Linked DNA regions of Drosophila melanogaster. The protein of the gene in region 1 purifies or fractionates together with the protein of each later gene. This does not show direct contact. Each region holds a gene or a part of one and is shown in the gene's direction. Other genes may lie near its edges.

Region 1 (4,249 bases):
GCTGCTCTGCTTTGGCTCAGATTTTTGCTTTGCGAATTGCGCTGAGAGAATCGCAAAACCACGCTGCGAATCACGTACATAAATAAATAAATACGCAGGCGTATGACCGTATGTTTGTGTACTCATGCCGCAACGGAAGCTGCAACAGTAGCGGCAGCAACATTCAGCGCAGCAGCGGTTGAAACAACAAACAAACTAACAAACAAACATTCAAGCCGCCACCGCAATGGTTGTTGTTCACTGTTGGTTTTTGGTTTTTGTGGCCAATGCCGCCGCTGCAATTGCCACTGATCGCGTCGATTCAATTAGTAATTCTAAAAAGGCGGCAAGCGACGTCTTTTGCATCTTAATGAGCAGCAACAGCAGCAGCAGCAGCAGCAGCGGCAGTTGATGTTGCTCCTGTGGCAGCAGCAACACATGCAGCATGTTGCCGCCGCAATAACATTTGTTCATAACAACAAGAAACGGAGAGACAGGGCCAGTTTTTCCATCCAATTGTGCCGGCACAGCACTTTTCATGCCCAAATGCAGTTTGTGATTGCTGCTGTGACCGTTGCTGATCGCAACTGCTGCAGTTGCTGCTGCAACTCCTGCTGCATTGACTATTTTTGTCATCCAGGTCCACGCACTGGTCGTGCAGCATGTTTGCGCGTTCATCTCCGGCTCCGGCCATTTCCACAGAAAATGTAATTACTGTGATTTAATTTTTTTCCACATTTACTTCTATTGCAGCAAAGGCTGCAATTGGCCAGATTGCAACGGCAGCAACTGCAACTGTGGCATTGCCATTTCTGCGCGCGCATTACAAACTTGGCTCAAATTAATTCCTCAAGCCCAAATGCGATCTGGCCAAGCTGCAGCTAATCAAACTTTAATCAATGCGGCATTTTGATGCGACATTGCTAGTTTTTCTCTTTTTTTCTGCAGCCAGTTCCATAGTTGGAACGATGGGAAAATATGCCGCTTGGCCTGGGAGGAAATTTGCCAAGAAATTGTTATTAATCTGGAATGGTCATATGGGCAAACAAAAAAAAAAAACGATCGTAAGCCAGTTTGAACTATTTCAAATGCTTCGCTAACAATTTCAATATCTGTCAAGTGCTTCAATTAATTATTATGCCTTTTGATAGTAGGCAGCTGTTGAATGGAGAATACCATAATTTTTTTATTTTAATCTCATTACCTTAACATTTCCTATGTATACTTATAGGCACTAATAATTAGCCAGCTCTACTGCCAACAAAAATAAAACCATATCGCTTTGAAATCAATAGCATGACATTATAGCTTATATGCATTAAAAAGCAATTAGTTCAATTTCTGACAGTCTAAAAGCTTTGCGTGCTGGAATAAATAATTTTTACTTTTAAATGAGTTAACCAATTATTTGGTTTTAGACTGTTTTTGTTGACACAACCGAACGCTTTAGTATTCACCATTAAGCGATTAAATTAAGCTTCAAGATAATCATAAAAATATGACTGACCATTTAAAGCCGGCCATAGCATCAGTGATATAATACTTAAAATGTTGGAATGCTTCAAAATGGAGTCATCATTATAGACAATCCAAAATTAAAAAATTGCAAAGTCGAGTATAAAAAAGAATAGAACTCAACAGCACTCAACCACAATAATTGATATAATCCAACCATATAATTGGCTTCCTGATAACAGAAAGCTGTTTTGAGATTGTTATTGTTTTAAACAGTATAGTACATACAATTGATTATGATTACAGAGGCTTGATGATATGCCAAAGCTTAGTGTGTAGTGAAATTGCCTGCAGAACGGACCGATCGGAGAATTTTGCGACAAAATGTGGATCGCTCTGCTGGGGATCCCGATTTTGTTGGCGGTCCTAACGCTTCTTCTAAAACACATTAACAAAACCTACTTTATACTTTCATTAACGAAGCGTGTGCGAACCGAGGATGGCAGTCCATTGGAAAGCAAAGTGGCCATAATGCCGGGAAAAACGCGATTTGGCAACAACTTGGATATCTTGAACTTTACGCCGGGTTCGTTTTGTTACTCAATGCGATTATAGGTTTATAACTACTTTTCAAGTTTTATTACAGCTAGTGTTTTTAATTTTGTGCGCGAGTCCACGGCCAAGGCCAAGGGTCAGAATTATCTGTGGTATTTTCTATATGCACCCATGTATAATGTGGTTCGACCCGAGGAAGCTGAGGAGGTATTCCAGAGCACCAAGCTGATAACGAAGAACGTGGTTTACGAACTGATTAGACCATTTCTGGGAGACGGACTCCTGATAAGCACGGGTGATTCAATCAATTTGTACTGCATTATTATAATTACTAATTAATCAATGATTTCAAGATCACAAATGGCATTCCAGACGAAAGGCTTTAACGCCCGCCTTTCACTTCAATGTCCTGCAGTCATTCCTGGGTATTTTCAAGTAAGTTTGAACTATTAATTAACTATTGAATTCGCTCAAATATAAGTTTATTTTAGGGAAGAGTGCAAGAAGTTCCTTAACGTTTTAGAGAAAAATTTAGATGCAGAACTGGAGCTTAACCAGGTTATTCCGCCATTTACTTTGAATAATATATGCGGTGAGCTGAATGAAGTGATAATATTTAAGAACATTTAAACTAAACCATACCCTTTATAGAAACTGCTCTGGGTGTGAAGCTGGATGACATGTCGGAGGGCAACGAATATAGAAAGGCCATCCATGCCATCGAGGAAGTTCTAATTCAACGCGTGTGCAATCCGCTGATGTACTACAACTGGTATTTCTTCGTTTACGGAGACTATAGAAAGCATTTGCAGAATCTTCGAATAGTTCACGACTTCTCCAGTCGCATTATCGAACGAAAAAGGCAGCAATTCCAGCAGAAACAACTTGGAGAAGTCGATGAATTTGGCAGGAAGCAGCGATACGCCATGTTGGATACCCTGTTAGCAGCCGAAGCAGATGGTCAGATCGATCATCAGGGTATCTGCGATGAGGTCAATACCTTTATGTTCGAGGGTTACGATACTACGTCCACCTGTCTAATATTTACCCTATTGATGCTGGCTCTCCACGAGGATGTCCAGAAGAAGTGCTATGAGGAGGTGGAAAATCTTCCCGAGGACAGCGATGACATCAGTATGTTTCAGTTCAACAAACTAGTCTACTTGGAATGTGTGATAAAGGAATCGCTGAGAATGTTTCCATCAGTGCCATTTATTGGGCGCCAATGCGTGGAGGAGACTGTGGTGAATGGAATGGTGATGCCAAAGGACACCCAGATCAGCATCCACATATACGACATAATGAGAGATCCGCGACATTTCCCGAAACCAGATCTGTTCCAGCCAGACAGATTTCTACCGGAGAACACAGTGAATCGTCATCCTTTTGCATATGTGCCTTTTAGTGCAGGCCAGAGGAATTGCATTGGTCAGAAGTTTGCCATTCTGGAGATGAAGGTGCTCCTGGCCGCTGTGATTAGGAACTTTAAACTCCTGCCCGCCACCCAGTTGGAGGATCTCACTTTTGAGAACGGAATCGTGCTGCGCACACAAGAGAATATCAAAGTGAAGCTATCGAAAAGGGTAAAATGAGGAATATTTCCTAGTGTAAGTTTATGGAAAACGGTTTGCCAAAGAGCTTTTATTTGTAATTTGTTTAGAGAAACAAATAAACCAGTAAAACGATTGAAACTCTAAAACGATTGATCGCTTGTCTTATTATCTGTCATGTAAAATATAACGATTTATGATTAAACGATGAAATGATTGAACTAAAGATATCCTAACATGTAATTAATTTAATTAACACGTTCATCACAATCGGTAACGTTTAAATAAATTGCTGGTTGCTTTTTTATGGAGAGGATACATTGTGATCAATTTGCATGTTTGTAATAGTGAAACTACCGACTACTTTATACAGCTTTATAGCTTTATATACAAATTAAAGCTTACGTAAAAAAAATCAAAAGCCAATATACATAAATATCGTAAATTTCAAAAAATTTTGTTACACAAGACTTTCTAAAAACAGTGCAGTATTTGCAATTTAATATACCCATCAATTGCATGCCGCAAGGGAACATGTTTTATACTAAGTACCTATTGATTTTACAGAACTCAATTGTTCCGATCACTGAGTTCTAATCAGTATTCGTCATTTATAGATCGGAGCTTAATCTGAGAGGTATTGGAACCTCTGACCGGAATATAATATAAACGTAGAAATGTTTTTGGAAGTCCTGTTCGCTGCTCCACTT
Region 2 (5,029 bases), on another chromosome or scaffold:
GGGACACTCGTACGTGTGCTCGATGTAGATCATGGAACGATCCTTGGAGAAATGCTCATCGGAGGACCAGTCCACGTCCTTTTTCTTTTTTGCCGGCTTCTTTGGTGGCATTGTGGTTTTTTTTTTAGATTACTTTCACAATTTCGAAGTGATTTTGTTAATAACCAAAACCCATTTTTATTTCGAATGTTGACAATCCTAGAATTCATAATTGCTTTGATTGATTGCTTTTTGGTTCACTTATGATTCTCTGGTACAAAAGTACTGTGAACCATAAATCTTCTTTCGTACATTTCAAAGTGCGCAACGATGTCCAGAATATTTTTGCTGCGCCTATTTTTAAAATGCATGACAATCCGAAAGAGTCAACAACTTTTGGTGGCACGCATACGAAAAGAATCGCTGTTCGTTTGTTAATTTGGCTACATTGACTGACAACGCAGCCGCCTTTGAAAAAATTACAAAAAACGATATTGTATAGATGCAGGGGAAAATGCTTCCATTGGCTGGGTAGCCACAATTTTGTTCATTATATATAGATTTTTGTTTTGTATATATGCAAAGCTCCAATATAGACGTCAATTTATGGCACTGTCTATATTCATGCAGAAAAGCTACTCAACAAATTCTATGCATAACAATAATATATTGTTGGACACAAAAACATGCATAAACAATGGGAGAAAACATAAAAATCGAGTATTTAAAGCAAGTAAATTATACGATGAGAGCATTTCGACGACTATCAGATATTCTTTACGGATTCCATTGAATGTAGGTTTATCACAAAATACGCTGATATTTATCATAAGCTGGAAGAAGATACCAATACCAAATCAATGGATTGTTTTCATAAAAAAATGAAGAATGAAATCGCAAACCCTATTATTTTCAAGTCTCTTAATAGTGTTTGAAGGACATCTAATTGAACTGATTTTAAGAGCAAACATAGTCTTCTTATATAATTTGTGCATTTTTAATTGGAATCATTTAAATTCTTATTTTGGAGCGTAAACATGATTGCAACACTCTTTTATTTGCTTGATTTTATTGGTTGCGGGATTGCGAGATTGCAAATGGTCATTTATTGCATTTTATTTCTCCATTTCTCGTGGCTGAAGCTGAATGATTTTTTACCTTCAGCTGCCCACACGTGGCCCGCATTTTCCTGATCCCCCCCAACCCCCTCTGACCCAGAGGGTCATGGTTTATTTATGCAATTTTCCAATTTTCCCAACATCGGCCCACAAATAAAACCGAAATGAAAGCATACAAAATGCAGCAAAGAGCTGGGAATTTAAAAAAATAAAAAACCAAAAATGTATATGAAAATGCAATTTGCAAATTAACAACAACGCAATTGTAAACAACAGTGACAATGACGTCACAGTGAAACATACAACAGAAATCTATTCGTTGTGGGGTTAAGAATGCAACTTTTGGCGTTTGCACACATACTAATTATGCGCATAAACTGTGTATTCAAAACTAGGGTCATTTTGAAGCAATATTCAAATGAGCCAAAAAGAATATTTCAACAAATGTATCTGCACACTCGGAGTTTTTTTTCTGCTGTTTTTCCGCTGTGGAAAAATAATCATCGATGCTGCGGCTTCAGTGGGGCAGCGCCAAGAGCAACAAATATTTAAATATATTTATTATTCTGAATAGGCGTGCCAGCGTGTGTATATGTATCCCACATACGCATGTCTGCACATACTTCAGATATATTTTTAAAAAATCAAAACGACAATTTGCTGCTTGCATCATTTTGAAATACAACAGAACTTGAACGTCGACGTCGACGTCGCCAGCGGCAGCGGCAGAGATCGTCGATCGGCGAGCGAAAATTTTCGGCAGCTGCAGGCAGCGCCACTCGATCGTACCGCTTAGTGCCACGCCGTGTCTCAGAGCGCCCAGGCCACGGGCCCCCAAACCGTACCGCTGCGGAAAATCGATCTTGAAAATATATACAATACAAAAAAAAATCTAAAACTCTAGCACCGGATATATTATAGTCTAAGACTACGAGAATTGCCCACTTCATTGGGAAAGTGCGTGAAAATCCGAACATTACCATCGACCATCTACACCATCATCAGCATCCGTCATGCAGGTCTTCGATAACAATATGGTAAGTGAAATCTAGCCTGCGGCAAAAAAGCCATTTGTGGCCATGTTTACGCAGGCCAAATTTATTGTCGCCACGTTTGTGTATACCTTATGGCACACTTAGCCCAGTTAGCTTAACCCAGAAATGCCAATACACAAACTCCAGTCTGGCATAACCACGCCCATTTTGGCCGCAGAAGAAAAGGATATCCTTTGGCGGCAACGAAGGAGCAGAAAGGCAGGAAGTCATGCGGTGTTCAGAACGGGCCGCCAAATTAATTACAAAAATTCACTTAATGGCCACGATCCAAGTGGGTCAACGTACGTGCGAGCCACTAGAAATTGAAAGATGCAAAATGCTAGATGCAAAATGCTAGATGTAAAATTTAAGTGTTCCGCCAGAGACTTGTCAAAATTCTACCGCCTGCCTGGGATTTTAAGTGCAACTTAAATGGATGTAGTAATGTTATAATGACTACATTATAATCAGATTTGCACAATAAAAGTCTTGACATTGAGGCAAACGATTATGAACATTCCACAAGGGATTGGATTTTTTCCAAACGAAATACACATCAAATACATTTTCATCATGAAAATACAGTGCGAGTATTTTTGCAATGCCAGAACTTTCCATTCCATTTGATTCGGCCGCATCATCTAAAAATAAATATCCATATCTTTATTAATAATAAAAATAAGCTTGGAGACATATACCGATTTCTTGGCAGCTGAGCGACCCCATTAAGTACATAAATCGTACATAAATACACATAAATATAGATATATCTGAACCGGCAGCAAGTGCATATATGTATATGTACATACATAGATCGGATCGAAATTGTCGCCCATATGTAGGCCACTTACAGAATGGCGGCATTAGTCACATATAATACTCACGTATCTGTGGCAAACTAAGTCCCAAAATTGGTGGCAAGGTCGCCGGATGACGAAAGCAATCCGAAATGACATGGTCGATTTCCTTTTAATATTCCAGACAGCACTAGGAGGTATAAATAGATCCGGCGATTTTACAAATCCGGCGAAGGAAAAATAGTCGAAGCAACCGAAATGGAATTGCTTTATTTTCAGGCCGAATAAATCAATTGGCTTCTGTATTTATGCAGATGCCACCATTTGATTATTTCGCACTGTCGTTGATTTATGGCCAATGGCCAAAAGGGGCTGCCAAGGGTGCCCTCTTGCCAGCCATTTTTCCCACACACACAACCGACCGATTTTCCAGTGGCTTTCCCACACTTTTTCGAGAGTATTGTGCACGTCATGTGTAATTGCTATACGTCAATGTCAATGTGTGGGTTAGCGTCTGATAAATGCAAGCATATGTATATGTTGGTGTAAGTGCTTGTGGTCGTTTCCGGATCCTGTGGCTGCAATTGGTTAGCTTTAATGAAATGCCCGATGATATATTGTTGGGCAAATATGTGCTCGACCATTTCATCAGCCATTGAATTCGAACATTGAGCAGAAGTATTATCGATTTCAACGAGCACCAAATCGGAAGTCCTGAGTCAATAAATTGTATGGATTGCAAATGGCAAAAGATTTTCATCAGCTTTTCTCGATTGGCGGGCAACAGATTGCCGCTCAGAGTTTTCCAGCGAATTCCCGACTAATCCAAATAAAACTTCACAGCTTCCCCGACAATTCCGGTAAACTCAGGACACCTGTCAAGCAGAAGAAAGCACTCAATGCAATTCTGGGAATATTTCCAATCGGATATCTTTGATTTTCCGCTATGGAAATAAAAACAATGAGTGCGTGCAATAATTTGCATATTCACCTTATTTATTGATCAAAACACAAACAAACGAGAGCTGCCACAATTGTTTAAATATTTCCCAAACAAACAAGGCGCAGCTATTTTGTCTGGCTATTTATAGAGCTGAAAACTGAAATGCTAAATGCGCTGCAATGAAATGAATAATTAAATTGGCATATATACCACCGTGATTAATATCTATCTATGTATCTATATATCTTTTATCCTTTAGCGCCGTGCCTCGCGACGCGCCTCCTTGCGACGAGGATCCATATCGGCACTGCCGCAGAAGTCGCACGAGATTCCCTGGGACATATTCGAGCGACTATTCATGCCCTTCCTGTTCTGCCAGGCGGCGGCCATTGTCACATCGCACCTGCTCCACGCCCTGGACATCTCGAGCATCTCGACCTTCGCCGTGTTCGTCTGGTTCGCTCTGGCCACCGTGGGAGCCGTGCTCTTCTATCACTTCGTCAAGGTAAGTCATCCCGCTTGGCAGACTTTCTAATCCTTAATTCTGGCGAAAACCGCATAAGGGATCGGAGTGTCTTGGGCTTGGGCCTGGGATTGGTATTGGACTTGGGGTTTTCGGTTTCGGTTTCAGCGCCACGGGCGTCCATAAGTTAGGGGCTCTGTCTGCCGGGAACGGTCTTTATTTTTCCCTTCCGTTTTGGCCGGGTACAAGTGCCAAGCCAAAACCACAAGTGACGACGGAGGGTCTCAAATACTAGGCAAAACAAATCAGTGGCACTAAAAATAGTCGTCGGGCCAGCAAAGAATCCATATACACAAGGCGGCGGAAGGAGAGGGTCCTGCGGCAGGCACGTCGTCAACTTATGCTTAACCAGGCCGAAGGGGAAGGAGGAGCTGGTGGAGCAGATGTAGCAGGAGGATGCACAGGAAACCCTTGACTATGGATTTGGCTTCGGATTTGCCTGCGTGTGGTATTTCAGGGCTTATACTGTGCCTGGCAGCCAGCCGGGAAATGAAAATGAAAACAAATAAATAAGCAGGCAGGCAGAGCAGAGCAGTCCTGGTGGGCAAACCCGAGCACAACTTGCTGAAAGAAAAGGGTTTGGTAATGAATATAAATTCGCAAGTAGGAAAAATGTGGAGTCGTGATTCACTTGA
Region 3 (4,954 bases), on another chromosome or scaffold:
GATATGGGCTAATTTTTGAATAAAATCCAGTGCTCAAATCATAAGAAGTGATTTTTTGTAGTTTCTAGCATTTGTAATATCTGTTTCCCAACGATCGACCACGCCCCCTGGGCAACCGCCCCTCTGTTGGCCGCTCGCCATGGGAAAAGCAAATGACGCCTGCACTCGCAGAGATCGCCCCGAATAACCCCTCCATATCCACAGATCCACAGATCCCCAGATGCCCATGTAGCCATGTACTCCGCATGTAGTACGATCAACTAGCCGAGTGAATTTTGGCATAAACCATTTTCCGCGGACGCCTGATTTTCTCAGTTTTCTCAGAGTTGTGGAGCCGTCGAGAACGCGGAGCATTCGCCCATGTAAAGCCGCAGAATCCGTCGATTTTCGCCGGAATTTATCAATCCGATTTGCCAGTAATTTGCAACAGAATAAGTGAATTTGCCAAGTGAATTTCCCTAGTTTTTTTTTTCAACTTGCAACGAAAGTGCTAAAGTTACGAAACTGCACTTTCCACGTTGCACTTGCAACCCCAACAGTTTTTTCCACCAGATCCACCAGCTGAGGGAAAACTATTAATAAACCGGGCGAAGGATGAAACAAATTCAGATGTGACGCCCATCCTCGTCGAAAATCAAAAGTCGCAAGTGAACAATGTGTGTGTGTTCACTGAGTTTGCATAATTGTGAATTTGCTATTTTAATCGCCTGCGGGCATCAATTAATTAATTAATTAAAAGCTTTCCTTCTCGCACTCGTTTATTTGCGGAAAGTGTCTAACAATTTCGTTTGATCAACTAATCAAATGGGTAAATAACATAGTAAAAACGAAGTTTTAACTAACTGCTTTCGCTTGCTTACTTAATATACTTATACTTTCCAGAACTAATAGACTACTGAATATAGATTTCCTATTAATTTGCTTCAAAATGTGGTAATTTAATTAGCTTAGCTGCTTGTAAACTAATAATTTCTAAATAACAATTAGTTTGAAATGCTCAGAATTCAGTGTGACTAATTGGGAAAGCCTTGCAGAAATAGTTTAGCTCATGAATGAATGTATCTCATGCGAGTATAGCCGGCACATCTCCTCCCTTAGTTAGATACATAGATACATAGATACATAGATAGAAGCGGACGGATCCAGCAAGACCATACATACATACATATTGTACAGCTGAGACAGCGAACACCTTCAGCTTTCCGGCTGATCCCAATCCAAATCGCGAACTAGAGCGCAGTGCCCACCATGGATAATTGGAATGTTTTGGCAGCGCAAACCTCCTCGCAGGCCATCGGACTCCACGACTCTGGCGTGGTGAAGACCCGACTGGTGAGTACCCTGTACATAGAACATACACATGTGCAGATAGATATACATATTAGATGTAGTAAACAAAACAAAGCCAGACAGACGAACGATGGCGTATATATAGAATTCTTGGCAACAAACATTGTGCACTGAGAAAGTAAAAGGGGTTCGAAATCTATTATTACTATTAAATATATATATGCAAAAGCAGGCTGTGCGGAAATGTATCTTAAAGTAGGCGCTAAAGGATAAAGCTCAGAAGGTTATTCCTCGGGAAACAGAAGCATTTTCAGATGCATCTTAAAGTATCTAAGAAGTAGAAATATCTTAAGATGAATCCATAGGTTATCCGAACCTACAAAAGGTAGATACTATCAGCAATATCAGATACTTTTAGATATAAGTAAAATATAGTAAAATATCTCGAGATACTTTTATACAGCTTACTAATGATTTTGAATCTGACGAGGAAAGGAAGAGATTTGGCAGGGATTTTATCAGCATGTTTCTCCACGTGCACCGCTGGGTGAGTGGTGCTGGTGGTTCTAGTGGTTCTATTTGTTCTTAAAGAGTGCGTGAGTGGTGTGGTGCGTCGCCCGTGAACAGCACAGCTGATGCATCCGAAAGTAGAGTGATTGAGTGATGCGATGTGGCAGTGCTCTCGTTACTGGCGCTGGTCTATAAATAAGCCTAGGGTTCTCTTGAGTCTACTACTGCCTGGCGGATCTTTGGAGATTCCGATGGCACGTCGATGGGAATGCGGCTCGCAGTAGCGCGAAAGTAGCTCGATACGACGGATATTCTCGCCTCGCAGGCAGAGCACGCGTAGTTTGCCCCGTGTGTAGCTATATTTTTTTTTTATATAAGCAAGTGGTTCCGAATCATCCACACCCAGCCATGGATATATCCACCGATATCTGGGGTCAGCTGGCCGTGGAGGCATCGCAGGTCTACCTCTCCGACGGCACAGTTCGCAGTCCCTTCGCCGATACGGTACGATGGGTTTGGGATATTACTTAGGGATCCCACTCATTTGGGAGAGCCAGTCTGTGGCGTAAGAGAGAGTATCTATAGATTCACTCACCCGTAGAATATATAGCACCACATTCGCACTCAACTATTCCGAACTGTCGTTTAGATTTACATTTAGAGATCATATTTGAATCACTTATGTAGTACCATAGGATATACCACTATATATCGTGACTCTCATCCACAGACCATTGAGAAGCTGCCGGACAAGGTGCTGCTGCACATCTTCTCGTATCTGTCGCACCGCGAGATCTGCCGCCTGGCCAGGATTTGCCGACGATGGCGGCAGATTGCATACGACACGCGGCTGTGGAAGAACGTGAGCCTGCGACCGGAGGTCTCCGGACTGCACGTGGGCTCGCTGGAGATGCTGCTGCAGCTGATCTCGGTGAGATTCGGACCGACTCTGCGCTACATCGAGCTGCCCATCGAGCTGATCACGCACACGGTGCTCCACGAACTGTCCGCCAAGTGCCCCAATTTGACCCACATGCTGCTGGACTTCTCCACAGGTGGGTGCGCCACGTCGCCGATCGTCCGTCTTAAACTCTAGAGTGTCCTGTGTACTTCTTAGCCATGCAGCTGCACGACTTCAGCGAGATGCAGGCCTTTCCCACCAAGCTGCGCTACATGTGCGTCTGCCTCTCGGAGGTGATCTTCATGGAGGGCTTCATGCGCAAAATCTACAACTTCATCAACGGCCTGGAGGTGCTGCATCTAATTGGCACGTACGAGAAGTGCGAGGAGGAGGAGGAGGAGATCTACGAGGTGATCAACGTGCACAAGCTCAAGTCGGCCACGCCCAATTTGCGTGTGATCAACCTGTACGGCATCAACTTCATCGATGACTCGCACATCGACGCCTTCAGCTCGAACTGCATCCAGCTGGAGTGCCTGGCCGTCAACTTCTGCAACAAAGTGACCGGCTCCACCCTGAAGACCCTGATCCAGCGTTCCAAGCGCCTCACCTGCCTGCTCATGAACGGCACCAGCCTGAAGTCGGAGTTCGTCATGCAGGCCGAGTGGGACAAGTGCGCCCTGCAGGAGCTGGACATCACGGCCACCGATCTTTCGACCGAATGCCTCGTGGACATGCTGAGCAGGATCCCCAGCCTCAAGTTCCTCTCAGCCGGCCAGATCAATGGCTTCAACGACAGCGTTCTCAAGCAGTGGATGGAATCGGGCACCACCAGGTGAGCGGAGACAGTACCTACCCGTCTGTGTAAGCACTCCGATAGCAGTATGATTTAGGTCGCTCATTTCCCTGGACTTGGACTCCTCGGACAACATCTCGGATGAGGGCCTGCTTAAGTTTATACAGCGCCAGGGTCATCAGCTGAGCGCCTGCTGTCTCTCGGGCATGCCCCACATCACCGACCAGCTGTGGATGAGCATCCTGCCCCTGCTGGGCAACTGCAAGTAGGCGACACTATTGGTCATCGAATGAAAAGACATTTTATTATGAGCTGAACTTTCTTAACCTGCAGGATCATTGTTATGGGCACCGCAGAGAAGCTGGGCGTCAACATCCACGTGGACCAGCTGATGGACACCATCGCCTCGAATTGCGGCAACTTGGAGCGGCTGGAGCTGCGCTGGGATCCGGACAACCTGCGCTTCTCCGACAAGAGCCAGAAGGCCATCGATATTCTGCGCGTCAAGTGCCTCAAGCTGCGCTGCATGGTGCTCAGGTGGGTCTACATCAGACTCCTATTTCTATGCGGGATTAACATCAATATTTCGCTTCCAGCGATGGTCGCTACTATGAGACGGTCAAGGCCAACTTTGAGCGTGCCGATCGCATCACCGTGGTGCGCACCACCACCTGCTGCCGTGTGTCTCCCTATCACCTGCTCCGCAACTACAACGATTTGATTTTCAACTGAGCCTCTGAGGTTCAGAGCTGAAAGCCAAGAGAGGATTGGTAGCTTGCACTTACCCGGTTGCAGAGCTCTGGATGGGATTTACCCACAACAGGGCCGGAGGAGAAGCAATGTTTCTGTGTGTTTTCGCTTACAATAAGAGTGTTTTAATGTTTTCTGTATTTTCCGCTTCTTTCGTTTAATTACTTTAAATCTAAATAAACGTACATAGGTAATTTAAATAAAAACAAAACAAGGATTTGCTTATACAAGTTATTTTTACATTACAAAATTATACAACGCAACTTTTCGCCTTGCTCTCGTTTTTAAATCATTTTTTTTTTTTTTTTAATCATTTCAATCCGCGTTGATTCGTGTTTTGTTTTTAACTAGATTTACTTGGTAACTTGATTAAATCATTTTCAGACTTCACCACATAAAATGTTTATCGTTTTTGCGTTTTAGCGTTTTGCTGATGATTTTTACACTGCTTTCATCCATTGCAAACTTAATGCTAATTTAATTTTTTTTTTGTGTGTGTATGTTTCAACATTTTTGAATCGACTTTTTACCATAAACTTAACGTACATATGTAGATCATCTCCGTTTGAATTATCGTCTCATTGCCGATCAGCGTTCAGCTATTATATGCATGGTATATAATTTAGTTAAGCATAGCTGCGTGAGTTATACATACGTAATGTCTGTGCCTATGACGATATAGGATCGAAGGTGGGTGCTGTGGTCGA

The links.
Region 2: the proteins of Cyp4ac1 (region 1) and CG8888 purify together in Drosophila melanogaster (affinity purification with mass spectrometry, with the first as the bait; one large-scale study listed by BioGRID). This does not show direct contact.
Region 3: the proteins of Cyp4ac1 (region 1) and FipoQ purify together in Drosophila melanogaster (affinity purification with mass spectrometry, with the first as the bait; one large-scale study listed by BioGRID). This does not show direct contact.

Annotation. Positions count from the first base shown.
Region 1 is NT_033779.5:5,262,216-5,266,464, forward strand, and holds Cyp4ac1 (cytochrome P450 4ac1), read left to right. Parts: upstream 1-1,785; 5' UTR 1,786-1,818; coding exon 1,819-2,020; intron 2,021-2,080; coding exon 2,081-2,284; intron 2,285-2,342; coding exon 2,343-2,424; intron 2,425-2,480; coding exon 2,481-2,581; intron 2,582-2,640; coding exon 2,641-3,581; 3' UTR 3,582-3,684; downstream 3,685-4,249. Other genes in the region: Cyp4ac2 (cytochrome P450 4ac2), read left to right, coding at 4,217-4,249. UniProt on the Drosophila melanogaster protein: May be involved in the metabolism of insect hormones and in the breakdown of synthetic insecticides.
Region 2 is NT_033778.4:12,076,400-12,081,428, reverse strand, and holds the start of CG8888 (uncharacterized protein), read left to right. Parts: upstream 1-1,885; 5' UTR 1,886-2,110; coding exon 2,111-2,134; intron 2,135-4,130; coding exon 4,131-4,376; intron 4,377-5,029. Other genes in the region: CG13186 (uncharacterized protein), read right to left, coding at 1-111.
Region 3 is NT_033777.3:29,494,470-29,499,423, forward strand, and holds FipoQ (F-box involved in polyQ pathogenesis), read left to right. Parts: upstream 1-2,071; 5' UTR 2,072-2,208; coding exon 2,209-2,304; intron 2,305-2,530; coding exon 2,531-2,855; intron 2,856-2,917; coding exon 2,918-3,536; intron 3,537-3,594; coding exon 3,595-3,762; intron 3,763-3,830; coding exon 3,831-4,034; intron 4,035-4,093; coding exon 4,094-4,229; 3' UTR 4,230-4,454; downstream 4,455-4,954.